Lonchura striata: one gene and its partner. The protein of the gene in region 1 purifies or fractionates together with the protein of each later gene. This does not show direct contact. Links are inferred from orthologs where the notes say so. Each region holds a gene or a part of one and is shown in the gene's direction. Other genes may lie near its edges.

What was found.
Region 2: the proteins of TRAF7 (region 1) and MAP3K3 purify together in Homo sapiens (affinity purification with mass spectrometry; 5 studies listed by BioGRID and IntAct, with this or other methods). This does not show direct contact. The link is inferred for Lonchura striata from reciprocal best matches to the Homo sapiens genes TRAF7 and MAP3K3.

Annotation. Positions count from the first base shown.
Region 1 is NC_134618.1:16,959,092-16,970,981, forward strand, and holds the start of TRAF7 (E3 ubiquitin-protein ligase TRAF7), read left to right. Parts: upstream 1-7,445; 5' UTR 7,446-7,553; intron 7,554-10,513; exon of another isoform or gene 10,514-10,784; intron 10,785-11,890. Other genes in the region: RAB26 (ras-related protein Rab-26), read left to right, coding at 1-34, 322-374, 2,235-2,300, 2,447-2,503, 2,742-2,818, 3,269-3,371. UniProt on the Homo sapiens protein: E3 ubiquitin and SUMO-protein ligase that plays a role in different biological processes such as innate immunity, inflammation or apoptosis. Potentiates MAP3K3-mediated activation of JUN/AP1 and DDIT3 transcriptional regulators.
Region 2 is NC_134627.1:8,989,147-9,000,624, reverse strand, and holds the start of MAP3K3 (mitogen-activated protein kinase kinase kinase 3), read left to right. Parts: upstream 1-7,126; 5' UTR 7,127-7,248; coding exon 7,249-7,252; intron 7,253-11,478. UniProt on the Homo sapiens protein: Component of a protein kinase signal transduction cascade. Mediates activation of the NF-kappa-B, AP1 and DDIT3 transcriptional regulators.

The DNA of each region.
Region 1 (11,890 bases):
AGCGTCACCCACGCCTACTACCGGGATGCCCACGGTAAGCACGGCCACCTGGGCTCCCCGAGCCCCTCCTGCCAGCTCTTGGGGGCCCTGAGCTGCCACTGCAGGCCAGGGGAGCCAGGAGTCACTGGAGAGGCTTTCCACGGGAAGCAGTGGGTGCAGGAGGCTCTGCAAACACAGCAGCGTGAGGTGCTCTGTGCTGGGTTTCAGCGTGTTCTGTGTCTCACCTCACGTCCCCAGCTGTGACCTGCCACGGGGGCTGTGTGCTCTGAGCCATGGGCTCGGTCTGGCAGAAGCACTAACGGGCTGTCCCTCTCTCCACAGCCCTGCTCCTGCTCTACGATGTCACCAACAAAACGTCCTTCGACAACATCCAGGTACAGCAGCAGCCCCAGCCCCTCCGGCCGCCCCTCACGCGTGGCTGGCTGGGTGTGGGCGTGGGTTCCTTCTGGAGGTGTGTGCTGCTGTGGGAGCTGGGGTCGCTGGCAGAAGGGCTGTGCTTACTGCTGAGCACCTGCAAGGACAGGCAAGGGACAGGAGAGAAGGTTTTCCCTTTCACAGCACATAAAGGGTGATGGATTCACTGCTCCGGCCAATTAACACTGTGTAATTACAGCACTGGCAGAGAACTTGCTGTAGTAGCCGAGCACGGGAGCTTTCTCCAGCGAGCTGATCCCTCATCCCCCTCTGCTCCTCCAGGTCACAGTGGGTCGGGGTTGGGCTCCTCACTGCCACCCCAGCTTAGTCCAAACCTGGCAGGGAGGGGGTCCCAGCCCACCTGCCCTTCCTGCAGCCTTGGGGGCTTCCTGGTGCTGCCCAAGTTTGCCCCTTCCCTGGGTCCTTCAGGGCAGCTGGCCAGTGCTGCTGGGGCTCTCCAGCCTGGCAGAGGGGGAGAGCAGATGCTGCCTCATGGCAGCAGGGGGGTCAGGGACACCTGGGCACTCAGTGTCCCCTCTCTGCCCCACCGGCCCCGTGTGGCTGCTGGAGGCCACCTGTGCCAGCGCTGCCAGAGCACGTCCTGAGCCGGGGAGCAATTATCCCTGACTGAACTGGATGTAATTGCTCGTGTCCCGGGCATGAGAACGCCGTGAGCATCCACGGGGAGCAGCCGTGCCTGCACACACACCCAGGGCTGTGGTGGCATCAACACCCTGGGGCTGGGATGTGTCCCACGGGCTCCTGGGGTCCCACAGCTCTTGATCCCCTGTGGGACTGCAGCTCTCCCTGCTCCGGAGCATCCTTCCCTCGGCAGCACCACACGTGCCACCCCTCTGTGCCTGCAGGGACAGGGCAGGGACAGGGCAGGTCCTGCCACCCTGCTCCGTGTCACCGGCGCTGGGAATGCTTCCCACCGTGTCCCCCAGGCTCTGGGTCTGCTCAGGGCTGGTGGCCCTGTGAAAGAAAATCCTGTGGAGGTTTCACATTGCTGGGGAACACGGCCCTGCCTGCAGCATCAGCAATCCTGAGGACACAGGAGAGATGTCCCTGCAGGACACACAGCCCAGTGGGAAGGAACGAGCACCCAGGGGAATTGCCAGGCTTTGGAGAGAGGGGTGGGGGCAGAGAGCAGCCAAAGGGAGTTAGGAGAGACTCCAACCCACGATGGAACGGAGCACCCTGAGCCCAGCCTGGGTGCAGTGCTGTCCTGAGGTTGCAGCCTCACGTGCTGGGTTCCTGCTGGGTTTGGAGCAGGGACCACCAGGACCACCAGGAATTGCCATGAGCCCTGCAACAGCACTGGAGACAGCAGGAGGCTGCTCACACCACGGGGTCAGGGATTACAGGGAATTAGAGCAGGTTTGATTGGATTAGGCTGGATTAAAGGGCAGGGAAGCCACCCCACGGCTCAGGGGCAGCACGGGCAGGACACGGGCACAGGGCACATCCCAGAGCCAGCCCTCGGCCTTGTCCTCTGAGAGGAGGTTCAGTCTGAACATCCCAGCTGAGGGGAAACTGGGGTCAAAGCCCTACAGCACCAGATGGAATGGGCAGGGGAGGTCAGAAAGCTGCTGTTACCTGGGAAATGGGGATCTGGTAGCAGCCAAAGTGGGTCCCCCAGGGCTCAGGGGAACCCCAGGGTACCCCCTGTTGTCAGGGATCATCTCTGGGATTGTTTGGGATGCAGCATTGCCTACTGAGGGTGTCCATGCCAGGAGTGGTGCAGCTCCCCATTATTCCCATTCCCCTCCTTCTCCTGGAGCCATTGCCAACCCCTCTCTTTGGCTGTGTCCCTCCAGGCTTGGCTGACAGAGATCCATGAATATGCACAGCAGGATGTGGTCCTCATGTTACTGGGAAACAAGGTGAGCCTGGGCTTTGCCACGGCCTCCTCTTCCTCCCACGCTGGAGGCACAGGCAGGGGAGCCTGGCAGGGCATGAGGGCACAGGGAGGTACCTGCTGGTGGCCTTCCAAATCACCACAAATTGCTCTTTGCCATTCCTGTTGCAGGTGGATTCAGCCCAAGACAGAGTGGTGAAAAGGGAAGATGGAGAGAAGCTTGCCAAGGTAGGTGAGGTACCTGAGCATGTCCCTGAGAACCAGGTCACCTGGAGACCAGTCTGACCCAAAATACACCTGGGAGCACTCGGTGTTTTTCCCTTGTCATGCTCTCCCCTTTCTCCTTATCTGTTCTTCCTTTAAGTTTCTACTAGTATCTCTTGATTCTGTCCTCAAAAATTACTCCCAAGAGCCCCTGGGAACACCCTTGGTGCCACTCCTGACAGGGCTGTGTCTCATCCCACAGGAGTACGGAGTGCCCTTCATGGAGACCAGCGCCAAGAGCGGCCTCAACGTGGAATTAGCGTTCACAGCCATCGCCAAGTAAGTGACCAGAGCAGGGGCCTTGTCATCCAAAGGAGCTTTAGCAGTGTCCAAGCCACGCTGAGATCAACTGAGCTGGGCAAGGCAGCTCGGAATCATAGAATCCTGGGATGGCTTGGGTTGAAGGGACCTTAAAGCCCATTCAGTTCCAATGCCTTGCCATGGCAGGTTTCCACCATCCCAAAGCCCTGTCAAGTCTGGACACTTCCAGGGATCCAGGGGCAGCCACAGCTTCTCTGGGCAACCTGTGCCAGGGCTTCACCACCCTCACAGGGAAGGATTTCTTCCGGAGATCCCATCTATCCCTGCCCTGCCAGCAGGGATAGATGGCCATTCCCTGTGTCCTCTCACTCCATGCCCTTGTCCAAACTCCCTCTCTGGCTCCTTCCAGACAAAATCCTCTCCCTGCCAGAAGCAGCAGCATGAGAGTAACATCTTTCCCCTTTCCAGGGAGCTGAAGCACAGGTCCATGAAGCTGCCCAACGAGCCCAAATTCAAACTCCACGACTATGTGAAGAAGGAAGTGCGAGGCTCGGGCTGCTGCAGGTCCTAACGTGCATTTGCAGAGACTCAGGCCCGTGGGCAGTGTGTGCATGTCTGTCTGTTGTGTCTGTGTCTGCCCCCAAGGCCAGCTGAGACCAGGGCACAGGAGCAGCAGGAAAAGCTCTCTGGGATTCTGCAGCCCCGTTGGCTCCGGCTCCCCTGGCCAGCATTCCTGCCCTGCTCACAGGTGGGAGGTGGTGCTTGGGAAGGGGCTGGGGTCTCCTCCTGTGCCTGCTCTGTGAGGCTGCTGTAACCTTCGTGAGAGCCAGGGCGTGACGCAGGGGAACCAACACCTTCTCCCCACCTAGGAGGAAAGAAGTCCTGATTTTTTTCTGGGTAGGAGAACGTCCTGAATTCCCTTTTCTTGCCCTGTGTCCCTGGAATTCAGCTGAGAGCCCTGGCCTGGGGCGTGCAGGATGTGTTTGAAGGCAGCCATTCTTGTAGTTGTTTTCTCCTGTCTGTCCATCCCTGTGAGGTGGGACAAGCTTCCACAGTGAGGGATTCTCCTGTTCCCTGCAAAGGCAGAGCTTGGCTGTCCAGGTGAGCTCCTGCACACCTGGCTGTGTACAGAGATTTCTGAATGTTCATCCCTTTGGGAAAGGCTCTGCTTCTTCTCCTTCCGCCTTTCTAGTACTTTGAGAAGAAACCTAATGTATTGCAGCTTATTCTAAATACCTTCCTGTAAGTGTGATGGTGTTTTCAGACTGCAACAACGCTTTGATATCTTCAAAGTTCTCTCGGGCAGCTCTCTCTTTGCACCGCAGAGAGCTGGGGGGAAGCTGCAGGCAGTGATTTTACAGGCTGCAGACTCTTGCCAGCTCTCTTCAAGGGCCTCCTCACCCCTTTGGTCTGTGTCAGGCTTTTGGCTGTTTTTTTTGTCAAGCTGCACTTCTCAGTACGGATTTGAATCTGGATGAAGTGTTTGGCCTTTGGCGATTTTTCCCTTTGAAAACTCCACGCGCACATCAGCAGGTGCCCGCCGTGCCAAGCCTCGGTGGCTCCTCCAAATGAAGCAGAATAACCCATCTCTGCCCTCCAGCCAGCACACCCCCACAGCTGCTGACTCAAGATCCTCCTGCCTCTCGTTTTTCCTGGGATTTTGGCTCCAGCACCACCTTCCCGATGGGCACGAGGAGCCTCTGCAGCTCCCACATGCTCTGAGCTTCACTCCTCAAGGAGCTACAGCTTCACAGGATGAAAAATGATCTTAAACCAGCTTTTCCCTAAATGGTATTTTAAGGGAGAGATAAATCTTGAAGTTGTCTGATTTAAATTTTAAAAATACCTGTGGAAAACCCTTTCTTGCAGGAACGTTTGCATTCCTGGCAAACTCTGCTGCCAGTCCTGCAGGAGCAGCCAGGTGAGCTGAGTGATGGGGGGGCTCTCAGGGCAAATTTGGTTTTGTGAGGCAGGACCAGCCTGGCAGAGGCAGGGAACAGCCAGGCAGCTCCACAACTGTTTCCTCATCCTGCCCTTGGAGCAGCAGCAGCCCAATTCTGAAGGGACAAGGAGCCTCCCAAAAGGCAAAATTGAGATTACTAATGGATTAGGATTCCTAATATCACGTTGCTACCTTCCCTCTCCCTCAGACTGGCATTGTCTGGTTACAAAGCTGGCAACTGCTCACTTCTCTCTCAATGCGGGTGTAAACCCAATAAAAACTCCTGTAATTGGGGAAGATGTAAATGATTCCCTTCAGCGCATTCCAGCCTGCCTGTGGTTCAGCCCTGAACCCGGAGCAGGCTCAGCTGCTCCCTCCCAGTCACCAGCTCCCAGTGTGGGACTGGTTTCCCAGTGCCCGCACTGGCCTGGCCCCGAAGCTCCTCCTCACGGCCATTTGGGATTTTCCGGCCATTTGGGATTTTCCGTGGGCCTTTGCTGCCACCACGCGGAACTGCTCAGCAAAGTTAATTATTAATTATTCGAGTTAATTGCTCGGTGCACCCAGCCACGTGCGAGGACTCGGCCTCACCTGCAACATTCCATTTCCGCTGGCTCTTGTTTACAGCTTTCAGTTCATTCCTGTTAATAAAATTTTTTAATACTCTGCATGGCTACAGCAGCATTTTCATTTGTCAGTCGTTCAAAGTATTTCAGCTCAGCCTCTAAACCATCTGGATCTACACAGCAGAACCAGGGAATAACAGTTTGAACTGGGTATTGGGAGAATTTCTCCCCAAAAAGGGCTGCCCAGCCCTGGCACAGTGTCGGAGTTGCCATCAAACCAAAGTGACTCCCAAGATTGCAAAGAAGGGAGTGGGGCTGAGCAAAGTGCTGCAAACTTAATGCACTCCAGTTACAGCATTTCCAGTCAGTCTGTGGAGAAATGCTGATAAACAGAAGAAAAAAACAGATTTTTCAAAACTTTATTCACCTGTAAGCTACAAAATTTACTTTATATAGAAACCAAAGTTGAAATACAGTAGTAAAGCATTTACAAGTAAAGCTTGAGATTGGGAAAACATTACAGGAGTAATTTGTTATCTTCTGTGAAAAATGCCAATCACTTGGTTTTAAAAATTTTAAAAGTTTAGTAATAATAAAATGGTTATAAAAGTAGTAATACAATCAGAGTAATAAAGTTTTGAGTTAGGACAATTACAAGACAATAAAAAGCAAAGAATTACAGACATCATGCTCTCGGACACTAAGTCACAAAAAGCATCCCTTGTGAACAAAGGAATAACCTTAAAAGCAACGGCCTGTTGTATATTCACATATTCCTCATGGCTATGCATACATTTTATTTAAAACAAGAACTCTCTGTGGTATATCAACTGTTTCCTTTAAACCCTAAGGCGCCTTCAAGTCGAGTGAGGCCTGAAGAAATTAGCTTCTTCTGATAAGAAAACCATAAATTCCTTTTCAAGATTTAGGTGTTCCTCTAAACGAGTATCTCATTCCTAAAAAAAAACACTCCCCCCACAAACATCGTCTCTATTTTAACCTTCTGTTGGAACCTAAAACTATATTTAGCCCACTACATAAGAGAATACAGCATAACTTTCTAACATTACAGATGTAATATTAGTGGCAATATTTGCGAATTTAAATTATTAATTAATTAATATTTAATTATTAATTCATTAATATTTGCTGTAACTTACAAATTATTAAGCTAACATTGTTCTGTTGTATACATTGACTTTATTCAAGCACGAGTTTCTCGTGAACTTCCCTAGGCCTCTGACCAGTTTCTCATGATTATTCTTACGATTAAACAGTAATTATATTTAATTACTAAACAATCATCACATCTAACAATTATATCATTTATAATGTACTAGCTACAGAGGTGCTGTTCTAGCAATGTACAAGGCCTACATGTACCCAGGGTATTTTTTCAGGGCCTAATAAGCTTAATTTTCCTTCTAACCCTAAATCCCCACGATTTAAAAACCTTTTTGCTATCACGAACGCCGCCTTCGAGCGGCCCAGACCGCCGGGGAGTGCCGGGACGGGGCACGGAGCCTCCGGGACGCCGCCGCCGGTTCCCGCCGAGCCCTGAGGGGAGAGAAGGCAGCGCGTGAGGGCAGAGCCCGCCCGGCCGCCCCGCCGGGCCGCGGCTCCGCGGGCCTCAGCAGGGGCTGCTCAGCAGGGGCTGCGGCCGCCCGCCGCCCTCAGACGAGGTGTCAGAAAGGTTAGTGTGGATCATCACCGGCCCGCCCTCGGTAATAGCGCCGGTACCGGCCGCGCTTCCCTCACCCCTCGTCCTCTCCTGCGCCGCGCCTCTGGCTGGAAAGAACGTGCTCGCGCCACGCTACGTTTTTTATGGCCACTGCCACGCCACTATTGGTCAGCCTGCTGTGGGCACAGCCAATCTCCAGCGGTTGGCGTGACCACCGCCCCACCTCTAGCAGCGCTGATTGGTCGCTGTTCTCCTCTCCACCAATGGCGACGCGCAGCGCAGCGTGGCCCGAGGCGGTAGTTGCCACCTTCTGATTGGTCACTGCAGTAGGCCGGGCAGAACCAGTAGCAACAGCGGTTGTAGCATGGAGTGGCTCTCCGCGGGGCGTGTTGGGAGTTGTAGTCCATGCGACTCGGCAGAACAGGCAGGAAGCGGCGCACGGGACTACAAGTCCCGAGGAGCGCTGCGCGCGGCAGTTCCGGGCCGGGCGCCGGTGAGGAGCAGGCCCGGGCGCGATGTGCCGGGACCGGGCACCGGCGCTGCGGCCGCCGCCGCCGCTGGGAGGTACGGGCGGGCCGGGGGGCGCCGGGCGGGCCGCGCCGGGCGGCTCCGCCACGGGAGGGGCAGGGCCGCGGGCCGCGGAGGGGCCGGCGGAGGCTCCCGGTGCCCGCCGCCCGCTGTGCCCGGGGTGCCGGCGGCTCTGTGGGGCGCTCGGAGCAGCTGGAGCATCCTCTGCGCTGTTCCGGCCCCGCTCACTGCCGCCGGTGTGTTGGCTGGGTGTCATCGCGTAGCTGCGGCTTTTTCTGCTCGGTTTTGTCGTTTTCCGCTCCGTTCCGTGCCCGACCGCAGCACGTGTTGCTGCTGCCGGTGTTTCCCTGCCCTCCCGGGAGCCTCGTTTCGCTGGGCTTTGGGCCCACAGTGTTCACAGCGTGGGCTGGCCGGGAGTGGCTCTCCGTGGCTGCCGCAGAGGTGCAGGTGTGGGTCGGGGCTGTGACCTGCGGGCTGTGCATTGTGCCGACCTGTCCTCTACTCAAGCCAGCTCTGGGGCTCTGTCCCCTGCCCTTATGGGCTGTGCATTGTGCCAACCTCGCCTCAAGCCAGCTCTGGGGCTCTGTCCCCCGCCGCTGCAGCCGCTGTCCCGCTGACAAACGCTGCCAAACTCTGGGATCCCTGAGCCGTGTGCTGGGAAGGGCAGCGGGGAGCATTTCCCTTGGGTTCCCCTTCCTTTGGAGCTCTGCTGGGCTCAGAGGCAGCGGCAGGGCCGGTGGGTGTTACAGGAGTGGCTCCAGAATTGTCCCAAGAACTGTGACCCAGCAGTTGTCTTTGCCACTTTGGTAACGTTGCTGTGCCTTTGTTTCAATCCCAGCAGTGTAATTCTGCCTCCCTGCGTGTTTTCCCCCCCCAGCGATGTGTTTCCAGGCTGCACTGAGCACTCGGGTTCCTCTTAAACAGCTTTAAAAGCTGCAGCATTTTGGCCTCAAGTGTTTTTGGCTGCTCCTTCCAGCCACAGCGAGGATGGTGGGGCTTGCAGGAGAGGGTTTGGGGGTGAAGGATGGTTCCAGAAAGCCTTTGATGGGTGAAAGTAGTCTCAGATCACAGAATCCCAGAATTGTTTAGGTTGGAAAAAATCTCCAAAACCACAGAGTCCATCCTGTGACTGATCACAGCCCAGAGCTCTGAGTGCCACGTTGGACATCTCCAGGGATGGAGACTCCAAACCTCTTTGGGCAGCCCCTTCCATGAGGAAATTCCTCCTGATGTGCAACCTGCACCTCCCCTGGCAAGGGAAATCCCTAAAATCCTGCAGGAAGCTGCAGGAGCGGGTCCTGTCTGCAGTCTGCTGGATTCCCTCCAGGCCCTGGGTCCCCTGTGTGGAGCAGGGAAGGGACAGGCTGAAGCTCCAGCGCTGGGTTTGGTTTGTGTGCAGGCGACACTGCCTCAAGGAGGGAACGTTTTACCCCGTGGAAATGGGAAACCTGAGCCACAGTGGTGTTTCCAGGCAGGGGATGCTGATACCTTCATTGCTCATACTCAAACAGGGGTTTTCATATTGATTGGGCTCAAGGAAGGAAAAAAAAACAACAAACCAATCCATGGTTTTGGGGTGGTTTGGTTCCCTGAGCTGGGGGATTCCAGGGTGAGCACTCCTGGGGCAGCACAGCCCCTGGTGGCCTGGAGCCACGTGTGAGCTGCAGGTGGAAGTTTGTGTCCCCTGCCTGCAGTCAGCCCTTCCCTTCCCCGAGGTTCTGCCAGGGCCTCGGGGAGCCCTGCAGGCTCTGGGTGGCTGCAGAGCTCCGTGTGCTGCTGCCAGCCCTGCCCTGCTCCTGGGGCTGCTCCTGGGCGCTCTGCAGCCCCAGTGGGGTTCAGCCATCGGTCACCCCGAGGGCTGAGCCTTCCCCTGCTGCCAGGGACCTTCCGAGCCCTGCTGGCCTGGCTGTGGCATTTCCTGGAGCGTGACTGTGCCTTTCTCACGGGTTATCCCGGCCAAGCCCAGGTGTGGCAGGAGGAGTGCACAGGAGAGAAAATCCTTCCTGGTCCGTGTTCAGTCTGTTGGAGCTCTTCCCTCCCGGTTTTTATCTGCACACACCAGCAGTCCCTGTGCCCGTGGCTTGGATCAGGGGGTGTAGGGAAGCTGGGACAAGGAGGGAGGCAGCTGGATGCTCACACGGGTACGTGTCACCCCTCTTTGAGCCCAACAAGTCCCCCTGGAGCCTAAAGGCAGCAGCACCCCAAATTACCCATTCAAGCTGCTCCTGCTTTGCCTCAAGCACAGCTATTGTAAATGCAGGTGAACCCAGTGGGAAGAAATGAGGATGTCTGACTCAATTCAAAAGGCTGAATTATTTCTTTATTATAACTATGCTAAAATACATTAATATACTATATAAAAGGAGGGTACTAAAACTACATACTACTTTCTCTGACCCTAACTCAACTCGTGACCTTCTCTGAGAGCGCAGCCCCAGGTGGGTTGGATTGGCTGTCAGGCTCAAACAATCCTCACCAGAATCTAATCAAGCAATCACCCCAGGTAAACAATTCTCCAAACACATTCCACATGGGCAAAACAAGGAGCAGAAATAGAAATTGTTTTCTCTTTCATTTCTCTCTGTGCACCTCTATGAAAAATCTTGAGAGAGAAATGTGCTTGCCACACACAGCCTTGGAGGTTCAGAGCTGCCTTTGAAGGAGGTGTCCTGGGGGCTGGAGCGGGGCAGTGCCTGCTCCTGGGGCTGCCCCAGCTCTGGGAGGGGTGTCCTGGCAGTGGGAGTCCCCCACCACCACCAGTGGCTGTGTTTCAGCCGAGTCCTGCTCCCCAGTTCTGCCTTTTTGGGTCACTGGGTTTCCCTGGATCATCTCTCCAGGCAAAGAGCGCGATGCTGTTTGTCATGCAGAATTCTGAATAGTTGGGGAACTATAAATGAGGGTGAGAAACTCAAACTCCCCTTAAAGCGAGCGAAGGGCCTTTCTGTCTCAGGAGCTTTCTGTGTTTGGGGGAATAAATCCGTGTGTGCTGGGAGAGGGATGTTTTTCCTGCACCGAACTGAACCCGGAGCAGCCGGGGCAAAGCTGGGAGGCAGCGTGGAGATTGGCTGAGCTGTGGGATTTTCCAGCTGCATTTACATATCGCCCACTGCTCCGCATGCCTTTGTGTTTACATCACCGGGGAGCGATCCACACACGCACACACGTAGCGGAAAAGGCACTTTGGCCGGGGAGAAGCCTGTCCCCAGCTCAGGAACCGGGCATGGTGGTGGCATCTTGCCGGGCTCTGCCGCTCCACGATGGCCAAGGGTGAGTTTGCTCCAAGGAGAAGTGTTTGCTCCGGGTGCTGGGTGTCAGGCTCTCGGCAGCATTCCCGGGGAAGCTGCTCCCCTTCAGCAGCGAGGGAGGAACTGTTTTCATCCCTCCTTAGGGAGCAGGAGGTACCTGAGTCCTGCAGCAGCTTGGACGGGGGTACCTGTGGCCCCTCCAGCAGCTGCAGCTGTGTCACCCTGATTTTCTGGTCCTTCAGAGTGACCTTTGCAAGGGCACGGAGTGCTTGATTGCAGCAACTTGGCAAGAGTGTCCTGAGGTTAGTCTGGTGTTCCAGAAGTGGGAAATCTTCACTATTCCTTAGGCAGAGCTGTGAACACAGAAAATAAGTTTGTAAAGAGAGGCCGTGTCCCCTGGAATTCTGAGTCACCCTGGGGGAGAGTTTAATCTGTGGGGTTTGGGGTTTTTGGACACTGAGTGGTGCTTCTGTCTCAAAGCTGTCAGCAGATTTGCCGTGGTGGAAGTGTCCACATCTCCTGATTTCTTTTGGAATAAAGGATTTGCTTTTGTTTCTCCCAGGATCACTAATTTGATCGATGAGTGTTGGTGTCTACAGGTGCCTCCTGCTTGTTTTCAGTAGCAAAACCCAAGGGAATGTACAAAAAAAGAGCAGGTGACTAGAATTTGCTGTCTTTTTTTTTTTTTTTTTTCCTGAAGAAGAAGATGATGTATTTAAGCTGGATCTTTGAAGTGTTCTAGTTGCATCCAGAGGGCAGAGAAGCGTGTGTGTCACGAGGTGCCAAAACTTTGGAGGATGTTGGGGGGAGCAGGGGGTGGAAGTGCTACTTTGTGCTTTTTGAGTCATGGCTATGGGCTCAGGTTTGCTATGACTTTAATCTGGAAGAATCCCATAGTGTGGTGGGGTGGTTGCAGCTTTCCAGAGGATGCAGTGCAGCCAACCATAAGGCAAAGCAGCTGGAAAAGGCCTCAGCCATGGCACAGGAATTGGGGAATAAAGGAGAGGGGAGCTTTGCTTTGACTCTTGCAGGACTCCAGGAGAGCAGAATCCAGGTGAGACAAACATTGCTCTGGCTTCCTTGGAAGAGCAGAAGCCAAATTTCTCCATCCCCCAGGGGTTTTCACTT
Region 2 (11,478 bases), on another chromosome or scaffold:
TGATGATGACAGTGCCAAGTTGGTTCTTAGAGATGTGCCTGGAGTCTTTGGATAGCTTGAATTTTGTGAGAGGAACTGCAGCTGCTGCCTGTAAATTCAGGCAGCCTGAAACCTTGAACTGACCAGCTGGTTAGTGGTGTTTTAACTCTTTCCTGACACACTGGAAACAGTGGACAGCAGCACAGCCAAGCTCTGGGCTCAGCAGACTCTACTGTTTCAGTCCCATCAAAGTACTAAAGGGCTGAGTTTTCCCAATGCTCATAGCAAAGTGGTCCCACCACCTCAAATGTGTGCTGTTATCCTGTCAGGTAACACAAATTCTCTCTAACACGTTTCCTGCTTTCTGCTCTCAGACCAGTATTTCAGAGCAAGCCTGTACCTACTGTTCTGTGGGCATGGAAAGCAATGAGCAAGTCACTGTCAAGTCTGTCCCAGTTCCTCTTGATCTTTGCAGGGAATCCAGGGAATTAATTGTATGTGGCACTTAAAGAGCACTTTCTGATGCAGCTGTACTTTCCCTGCTTACCCAAGAAGTCAGAAATGTTTCATTCTTGAGGGTATTGAGGAAAGTTTAGAATGGCCCTGACTTGGTTTGTTTTCTGGAAGAGATCTCCAGAACTTCCAATCAGCACCTTTCACCAGCAGTAAAAAGAACAGTAATTAGAAATGCAGCTAAATACCAGTCACTGAAGGCTCATCTGTTGACTCATGGCAGACATCAGATGTGAAGGGACCTGTGAGAGTTGCTGCTGCCTGTTTCATTTGACAAGTGTGTCTGCCAAGGACCTCAGTGGCCTTTTGTGCAGCCTCTAATACTTGGCATCATGCGAGAATTTCCACAGTCATAAAAATACTTAAAATTATCTCAGTGGCTCCCATCAAGCTTATTTCTTTATAGGAAATCTAACAAAATTAAGGAAAAAAAGCTATTTCCTAAAGAAATATTATGGCCATGTGCAGCCTGTGGTCCAGCTCCCGTTCCTTGGAGTTTGCTTTCCATGTGCAACACATGCAACTCCAAACCCTTCTTCGTGCTGAGGGTGGCTCTGTGGAATCTTAGCAAGGCAGAAAGGCAAGAACCAGAGCAGGACAGAGTCCCAGTGCAGCTGGAAAAAGGTATGTTGCTTTTTTTGACAACTTGGGAAATAGGAATTATGAAATCTACTATTTAAAAATATCTTTTTTTTAACCCTTGGGTTGCTAGCAGTGTAAAATGTAATTTAAATCCATTGCGCCGAAGCATTTTTGTTACCAGTAGCTGGGTAGGAGATACTACTTTTAGGTGTGTTTTCCCTTCTGCTCTCCCCATTCACAGTCCCGTTGTGGTAATTTCCTGAAGGTGTAATCTTTGTAGCATGATTGTACAAACATCCATATGAGATTCCTGACTTCTTGTTCTCACTAGAGTATGTTAAAGCAATAGTAATTTTACTTCTGTCCTTTTCTCCACCTGCAACTTCGCTACTATTCTGTCCTAGAGGAGTCCCAGTATCCTGCTATTCAACAGATATATATTGTTGACATGGATAACTGCAGTGTCCCTATATTCCTTTATTTTTATGGAGAAATATAAAAGGGTTTGTTACAATGGATTTTAACACCTGAGTCATGGAACCATATAGTTGAAACTGTAAATTTTAAGGCAATTTTCTGAACTTGCTTGAAAGTGGAATGTTGCATCCTTTTATGCTATTTCCTGCTTCCTATGTAGTTTTATTCAGATTTTTTAACCTTCTTTCTAAGTTTCGGCCTCCTGTGTATTAGGTACAGTATTTTCTGCCTTTCATACTTTGTAATAAAAACGGAACATTTGTAGATTGACTGCAGTTCCCTGTGTGATGAGTGAAAACCTGGGGGGAGCAGGGAGCTACAAATGAACTTCATTTCTGCTGTGTGCAGTTAGGTGCTGTAAGAAGAGGTGGATTGCTTTGCCTTGCCTCTGCAAAGCTGGTGAAGTATATTGATCCCTTGTCCTACAAATACCCAAACAAACTTGATAATTCCAGCTACTCTTAAGTTGCAAGTTTCCCCAAATAAATTATTAGTAACCCAGTCACAACAGAACTACAACAAAAAATGCAGCTGTACATTAAATATTGGCTTTCTTAAAAGCCTTCTGCAGGGTCTGTGTATTCCAGTGTTGTTTCTGCACGTGTTTTCCAACACTTTGCTTGTTCCCGGCACAAAAAAAATGGGAATTATCTGCTGTGTGGTTTTGTTTTTAAGACGAGGGGAAGAGAGACTTTGTTTTTTTTGTTTGTTTGTTTGTTTTTTGGGGTTTTTTTTTTTAGAATTCAAATAATCAGTCTCTGAGGGATTTTTAATATAGGCAAAGTGAAAATGAAGCAATTGGGCACTTCTGTAGCTTTAAGTCTCTCCTGGGCAGGGTGACCTCTCTTAAAGGGTATTTTTTCCACACACTCAGTCACTGCTGTTGTGTCCGGAATTGGGGCCAAGAGGAGAATTGTGTGGCAGAGCTTGGAAATTTGTACCTTAGGCCTTGGCAAGCAGGACTGATGACTTCCTTAAGTATTTAGATTAAATCTAGTTCAACTGAACGGTTGGATTTCTTTCTAATTCTTTGTGTACTGGCTTTGAAATAAAAGCTTACTAAGCTTCATGGCCACAGTGGCAAGAGTGTCTGCAGATGCTGCAGTGGTTTTTAAGCTATATATGGACTTTGTGTTAGTAACTCCTGCTCAGAAAAAATACTTTTTTCCCAAGAAGTGTTTGTCTTTCACCCTAGAAATGTATTTGCATCCTCACAGATTATTTTTGTCCCTGGATTTGTGTTTTGGAATACTCCAGAGAAACTTTCTCACCTGCCACTATGGTGGAAGGAGGTAGCTTGTGCAAATTGGAGCAGAGCAAAAAGTGGTGGACTGGTGGATAATGGGTGAAGCAGGTTGCCTGTCAGTGTGGCAAAACAAGTGCCATAAAATGATGTAGAGGAACGTAGGTGGAAAAAGACAAATATTATGGAACAACCAACATCTGGCACAGCTGTCTTGCTCTGTGACCGTGGGAAAGTCCCTGCTCTGGTAAACAAGCTGTAAGTGGCAAGCACATAATTAATCAGTAATCAGTAAAGGGCTCGAAAATACTTGAAAGAAGCCCTCCGTGGTAACACAATGCACAGCAATAGCTGTAGAAAAAAAGTGATCTCTGAGATTATTCTGGGGCCTGTGACTGGGAGAAGCATTTAATTTAGAGCTTTTTCACTCGTGCTGTTTTAGAAACAGTCCAGACTGTCAGCTCAGAGGAAGTAATGATCTAAAAGCATATAATATTTTTAACGTTCTTCCTCCCCTTCCTTCTCTGATTTTGCCATTCCAAAGGCAGAGCAGCTTCTGGTTTTTAAGCAGCTTCAGAGCCCCCTCTGCTGGAATGCTGCTGGCAGCCAGGCCCAGCCGTGGCAGCAGGAAGCTCCGGGGCACACCTGCTTCTCCCGGCCGAGAACGGCTGCTGCAGGCGTTTTACAGGAGTTCCAGGTGATTCATGTCTCTGCTGGGGGGGGAGATGCATCTGGGCCCATATATATCCTGCCATGCTGTCCTACAGCTGGGTAATGGTGATGGTGTTCCATCCTCTTTGTTTTCAAAGCTGAGAACACAACAAGAAACTTTTAGGAGAGACAAGAACTGCCTGGGATTAATGAGATTACTCTTACATCTGCTGAAAACAGTGCAAGACCCTTTCTTGCATCCTTTGAAGATCGGATCCCTCATCCCTGGCAGTGTCCCAGGCCAGGCTGGACAGGGCTTGGAGCAACCTGGGGACAGTGAAAGATGTCCCTGCCGTGGCAGGGGGTGGCATGGATGGGCTTTAAGGTCCTTCCAACCCAAACCATTGAAGGATTCTCCAGTTCTGTTTACAGAGTTTCTCCTCCTTGCTCCCTTCTGTGGCTGTGGAGTCCAAGATGTAGAATAAGGAAGTTTTGGCATGGGACAAGCAGGCTCAGCCTGGAGCCTGCTCAGCTCCCCAGGAAGGATGTGTCTACCTAAACAAGAAGGGAAGCAGGAAGGAAAGAAGAAACAGCACATCTGATAGCAAGGAAAAGGGGCTCTTTGAGTCAGGTATGCTTCAGAAAATGCCCCAAAGGTCTACTCCAGATTTCCTGTGTAACTTCTAACAAGTCGCTGACTTTCTGTACAATGCCCTTAAGTCCCTAAAATAGGGATTGCACTTCCTTTTCTTAGTTGATGCTGTGTGACAGCATTGAACTATTAGGCCTTATAAAGTTCTTTTAAAACAAATGGGCTGACTGGGAACACAGAGTCACAGACTGGAGAGTCTTTGTGAATATCTTTACTGATGGTTTTATATTAAATGGCATCAGACAATCTGAATAAATTCAAGAATTAAGTGTGTTCTGCAGGTGCTGTTTACAGGAGTGAAGCTTCTCTGCTGAAAGCTGCAGCTTTGGAAGGATGTGGACAATTCAGGTGGAAAACCACGGAATATCAACTACTGTAAAACAACCTGATCCTCATCAGGAACTGCAATGGCAGGACAAAAAGAACTGGGTTCAGACTGATAGAGAGAAGGATTCAATGGGATATTTCCTCTCTGTGGGGGTGGGCAGGCCCTGGCACAGTTGCCCAGAGCAGCCCCTGGATCCCTGGCAGTGCACAAGGCCAGGCTGGATGGGGCTTGGAGCAGCCTGGGACAGTGGAAGGTGTCCCTGCCATGCCAGGGTGGCACTGGGGGGTCTTTAAGGCCCGTTCCAACCCAAACCCTTCTGGGGTTCTGTGATTATGCACAAAACCAGTACAGTATTAAGTACACAGTAAAAGTCAGAAAGGAATTATTTTTTTTTCTCAAGTTACACAAAAAAGGGGCGCTGATTCTGGTAGAAATTTGGATTCCAGTTCAGGAAAGATTTAGCAGCTTGGTGAGGGGAAAAAAAAAGGTGTGAGGGTCTGTAGTGGTCAAAAAAAGTCCTGATGGCACTTGCATGTAGATAGTGATGCGAGAATGTCTGTAAAATGGGGAAACCACAAATCAAGAAATAAAATTGTTAGTTTACACATTAGGCTTGACAGGTGGGTGAAGTGATGAGCTGTTAAGGACAAATCATTCTATTTTCAATTTGGTAAAAGATGCGGGGAAGCTTCAGTGAAATGCAGATGCCCTGGGCAGTTGGAGGTGGGAAGAGCGAGTTCCACCAGAGTGTGTCTTCTCCCATCTGCCAGGAGCTTCTGGCTCCTGTCACAAGCTGCCACTTGCCACTCTACTATCTTTTGGACTTGGGAAAGCAAGTTTCTGCACAAAGGACATGGAATCATTCTCATTTAGCAGGCCAAGCTAGGCAAAAATAGCAAATGGTGAGGTGATGATGGACTGGTTTAAAATCAGGGCTGGTGCAGTGGGGAATTGATACTAAATTTCTGCCTCCCGGGGTATGGGTGGGCTCTTCCCTCTCTTAGAAAAGCCTTTTTATAATGATCCTGGCACAAAGAGCCAGCATTAAAATCAAATTTGGTGATGAACAAAAGTGGGAGGCTTCAGTAATATGAGGGAACTGAGTATCTTGGAGATTGGATGACTGAAGAGTGAGAAATAGAGATGAGATTAAATGTGGCAGCAGAGAGTGCAAGGATGTGAATTTAGGGACAAGGAGGAGACTGTGGAGGATACCAAGAGTATTTTATTGGAAATTAGTAAGGAAAGGAAACTGAGATTTAGTGGTTGATAAAAGATAGTGATAAGCCATCATGAAGCTGTGAAACAGCATGTCAAAAAGTGGTTCCAAGATCAATAATGATGCTGTTGAATGAGAGAGAAATTCAAACTGGAACAGGGACAAAAAGCTACCAGCTTGATACCACAAATACAAGGCTTGTATTAAGAAGGGAAAGTGGCTGTGTCTGTGGATCCCTTTTCCTATTTCCGTGTCTACCTGGTATGATACTCTAAGAGCTTTTTACTACTTCGACAGTGAAAATAAATAAAAATTTTAAATTACATTACAGATAATGTTGTCATGTTTTGACTAAGTCCCAAATTCCTCCTGATGTGTAGGTTCAGATTCCTGCACTTGATCACACTTTTGAGCAATTTCCCTTTCCAGCCTAGTTTTCTTCTCCGGGTTCCGTGACCCCTTTGACATTGCTGCTGTGCCGTTTGTGAGCAGAGCCCTGCCAGGCGTTTGGCAGATTGAGAAGCAGCAGCTGAAACATCTGCTCCAGGTGGGTTTCCCAGCAGCAGGGCGGCCCTGACCACAACAGGGAGTCGGGTTGGGCTTCTTTTCAAAACAACAAACCCCTTCTGCCGTTCCTTCGTGGGAAGGACACTGAAAATTCCATCCTGCAGGTGGGACAGACACAAGCTGGGAGGGGGCAGGCTGGGGGTTGCTTTAAAAGATTTGATTCATTTAAACACAGCCTGTGGCAGAGGGGAGAACGAGATGATCTTTAAGGTCCCTTCCAAGCCAAAACATTCACGATTCAGAGAATTCCTGGCTTAGGCTACATGATGACAGCACACTGTGCTGTGTGAACAGTTACCCGGTAGTTGCATCAGACGCAGTCCAGGATGACTTTTTAATTATAATTTATTAGTTAATTTTAAGAGAACATTTATTCTCGTTAGCCCTGCGGCCTGGTTCGCAGAGGTGTTTCAGTGCAGGTGCAGCACGGGCAGAACAAAATTCCATTTTTCCTTTCGGCCCCCGTGGGCGGAGCCGCGCCGCCGTCCGTCACTCTGACTGACAGCCGCGTGGGGGGCGTGGTCTGTGAGGCCCCGCCTCCTGACGGCCGGGGGGCGTGGCTCCGCCGCGGCGCGTCGGACCCCGTGATTGACAGCCGGCTCCGCGGGGAGGCGGGGCGGGCGGCGCGGCTGCTCGCGCGCCCATTGGCCAGCAGCGCCGTCGGGCGGGCGCCGCGTCGGCGCTGATTGGCGGGCGGCGGCGGGTGCCGCTGTGATTGGCAGGAGGCGGCGGGTGCGCGGCGGCCGCCGAGCGGTTTGTTTTGCGGGCGGCGGCGGCGCGGCCGGCCCGCACGGACCGGGCACCGGGCAGCACCGGGCCGCACCGGGCTCCGGGCCGCACCGGGCACCGGGCCGCACCGCAGCGCCCGCCCGCCGCTCCCGGAGCGCGGCCGCCGGCAGCAGGCGGCGGCGCGGGGCCTGGGAATGTGGCGGCGGCGGCGGCTGTGAGCCCTCCCCTCGGCCCGGCCGCCATGGAGCCGCGGCGGTGACAGCGCCGTTCCGCAGCGCCCGCCGCGAGCGGGGCCGCCGCCCGCGGACATGGGTGAGCAGCGGCGGAGAAGCCCCGGGGGCCGGGGCCGCGTCACGGGCCGGGGCCGCTGCGGGCGGGACGGGGCGCGGGGCTCGGCCGGGCCCCGCTCCGGGCGCCGCCGGGGGGGAGCGGTGCATTTGCTAGGATTTGGCCGAAGTGGCAAAAGTCGGGTCTTGCCGAAGGTGCGGTGCCCCGCCGAGCGCGGGGCTCTCCGCTCCCGACGCGGCTCTTACGGGACGGGAGGTGTGCTCAGGCTGACTTGGAGACATTTCTAGTGTTACGTGCAGCTTGGGAGTCCATCGCGAAAGATTTGCCTTTATGGAACCCCCCCCGAGTTCTCATTTGCCATTCTTAGCCCAGACGGCCACATGTAAAAACAAGCAACGGAGTTGGAAGAACTCTTTTTCAAGAGGAAAAAGTTCTTATGAGGAGCTGCCATGACTGAATTTGATTGATTAAGTAAAATTAATTTGGATTTGAAGTGTATGTCCTGTATAAAGAACTGCTTAGGGAGGGGGTCTTGTGCTTCCTAATTTCTTTTTCAGCTTAAAGAGAGGTGCTAGAATTAAACTTTTGATTGCTCTAAACCAGAACTTAACTTATACTTGCTTATTGGCAAGGAAATTCCTGCTTTTCTAAGTCTGGAGTTTCATGGTTTCATGGGCTACAACTTAAACGTTTCTTCCCAACAACCAAGTTTAGTTTTCTGAGACTCTCCTTCATTTAGTCTGTATGCATAATTAGCTTTTATACTTTAAATTCAAAAAGCGTTGCAAATGTTATTCTACAACTACTTCAATATCTCTTTACTCTGTTTTGATTTGTAAATACAACAAATTCATGCAAATCCATCACTAGATTTCTCTGCTACAAAGAGGAATAGTGTAATGCACTCTGTTTAGAGTAGCAGGGTCCTTCTATATTAAAATGGTTTAGAAGTAGGAACTTGGATTTCCATGAAAGTGTCTTCCAATAGCAATTGGACCTGTGTTTGTAAACATGTGAGGGCAGAATGAAAAAATACAATTTCATGGACCGTTCCACCATAATCTGGTTCCATAACCCACCTGAAGGACGCGTGGGGTGATTGGTGGCAGAGTTTGCAGGAGCTCCAGTGGTTCAGCCACTCACCTGGAGCGGTTCCTGGGGTTTGTTTCCCTCTGGACACTCCTTGGCAGGCTGGAGAAGGGGGATCTGCGGCCCTGAGCTGTGCGGGGTGAGCTCTGCGGGTTTGGGGGCGCAGGCCCTGCTCCCTGCAGCCTTCCCTGCTCCGCTGGCTTTTCCTGCCTGTGTCACTTCCTTCCCTTGGCTCACCCAGCGACAGTGCGGAGGGAGCGTGGCTGAGCCCGTGGGCAGGACAGCCTCAAACCCCACAGACCAGGACAGCCTCAAACCCCACAGCCCAGGACAGCCTCAAACCCCACAGCCCAGGACAGCCTCAAACCCCACAGCCCAGGATAGTTTCAAACCCCACAGCCTGGGACAGCCTCAAACCCCACACCCAGGATAGTTTCAAACCCCACAGCCCGGGACAGCCTCAAACCCCACAGCCCAGGATAGTTTCAAACCCCACAGCCCAGGACAGCCTCAAACCCCACAGCCCAGGACAGCCTCAAACCCCACAGCCCAGGACAGCCTCAAACCCCACAGCTCAGGATAGTTTCAAACCCCACAGCCCAGGAATGCCTCAAACCCCACAGCCCAGGATAGTTTCAAACCCCACAGCTCAGGATAGTTTCAAACCCCACAGCCCAGGACAGCCTCAAACCCCACAGCCCAGGCCTTTCCCCTGACCTGTGAATGGAACAGGGACCCTCAATGCATCCTGCGAGCATAAGCCTCGTAGAGCTCTCTGTTTTTTTCTCTCACTCTACAAGCCAGGTCCTTTGGGATTTCCTGAAGCTTGCACACAGCAGCATTTTGGTACCACTAAAACTGCCCATGGCAAAGGACTCAAAATGAAACTCTTTTGAAGGCTTTTTTGAGGCCTTTAACATAGACACAATTTGTCTAAAATTTCCTTATTGTTCCCGGATCTGCCAATCACTCGCCCAAACCAGCTTTGCTGTTGTGGTGGTAGATAACAAATACACAGATGTGGTCACTTTCTCTTTTACACCAAAGTGGCATCATGTATCCCACTGTGACACCATATAAAACATGATCCAGATAAGGGGGGTTCAGACATATGCAGATACTTTTGCGCTTCTAACTTTGTGATTATTTTTTTCCTTTTTCTAAACTGTTTCCATTTCTGACTTGTTCAGACCTGTGTAATAAACCACGGATTGGTTGAAGTAAATGCTTTGTGGAGAGGAACAACTTTCTCTGTGAGCAGCAGTTCGCTTTTATCGAAGTTATAAAAATCCTTGAGTGTAGTTTTTAAAACATGAAAAGCATTTCCTGGACAACATCTTTCCCGCACAAAGCAGAACTGTGTTTCCCAGACCGACTGGAGACCAGGCAAAACAGGGTCTCTCAGTACTCCAAAAATTGCTTCATTTTCATTTGTAGCAGCTTCTGCATTGTGCAATTAATGTAATGCTGCTCCACGTGCTGCTCCAAGTCTGTCTATGAGAATCCTCTGTTGGGATGGAACTAAAGAAGTACTCATACTTCTCAGCATTGAATCCATCACTCTGCTGTCCTCACCAGATACAATTTTTCCCTGCACAAGCTCAGATCAGGTTTGACTTTATCCTTTTAAGAGATAAATATTCTGTCATGTCCTACCTCATCAACATAGGGGTGAATTACAGGATGTATGGTTTAGTAGTAGGGAACAAATAGCTTAGTGTAAAACTACTAGAAAAGGTATAATAAGATTCAAACTCACCTGAAGTTGTTCCATGCCCTTTGTTAGAACATTGACTGTTCCCATATTATGAAGATAAATAATATTTTGGTGTTAGAATGACAGCAGTGAGTAAGATACAGACCTTGCAGGGCACTAACTGGGGTAGAACACCTGCAGCCAGCCATTGCAACCATTGATCTTTGTTTTCCAGTAATGATACTGTTTAGAGGAGAATTCTTCTTCCCAGACATATTCTTTGATGGACTTGATTTCTTGTCATCAGCCCTCAGTTATAAACTGCTTTCTTAGCTCGTTTGCTTCTTGCCCAAAGGAGCTCTGCCAAGACAAGCTCTTCTTCATCCTCCTGGTATCTGGCCAAACCCAAACTGCACTGTAGTGGAAAACTTGTAGCCCGACTCTTCCCTGAGTGTTTTGGGTGGTAGGAAGGTCGGTGATGTTCCAGGCCATAGGCTGTAGTATTTTCTTGTGCATGGTTTCAGCCTTTGTCTGTCAGGTGACTCCAAGACTGCTCCTAATACCATCAAAATGAAAGAATACCAGTAAATTGGCGACACTCCAGTAAAGGTAAAAGGTTAAATGTTCAACTGTAAAGTTGGAAAGTTAAAAAAAAAAGGAAGGAAAAAGTTGTGCCATTGCCCACCTGGAACTTTAGCTTCATTCACAGCTGTTTCTTCAGATTTTCATCCCACAAGGGGTTACTTAGTGCTGAGATAGATCCCAGCACTTATTTCCTTTGGCTGATGTGCTTCTCAAAAAGCAGCCTCTTGCTTTGGTTGTGTTACACCGCTTGCTTCTTTCACATGCAGTTGGAATGTCAAGGAGTGCTCTCCCTTCTCTGCTGCCACAATGTGGTTATTGTCTCATTTGGCTTGTCTTGGACAGCAGAGATTTGGTGGGTTTTGATTTGGATTTTTTTATATTCTCTGCTCTGCGTTCCTTTTTTAAGATTTTTTTTCTGTAATTAACACCTTCTGCAAATTCATTGGGAGATTTCTGTTCCTTCCCTTTCATGATCTGGTCTAGGCTTGATGTTTCTGGTGCAACATTCTGGATTCCACAGTGGATGTATCTGAGATGTTGGGTGCTCTCAGGACCAAGTTAGGACTCACTTCCAGTGCCTGAAGAGAGCCTGCAAGAGGGGTAGAGAGAGACTTCACAGGGGCCTGAGTGGACAGGACACAGGGAATGGCTTCCCATTGCCAGAAGGCAGGGATAGATGGGATCCTGGGAAGAAGTTCCTTTCTGGGAGGGTGGGCAGGCCCTGGCACAGGTGCCCAGAGCAGCTCTGGGTGCCCCTGGACACCTGGCAGTGTCCCAGGCCAGGCTGGACAGGGCTTGGAGCAGCCTGGGACAGTGGAAGGTGTCCCTGGATGAGCTTTCAGGTCCCTTCCAACCCAAATCATTTTGGGATCCTGTGAAA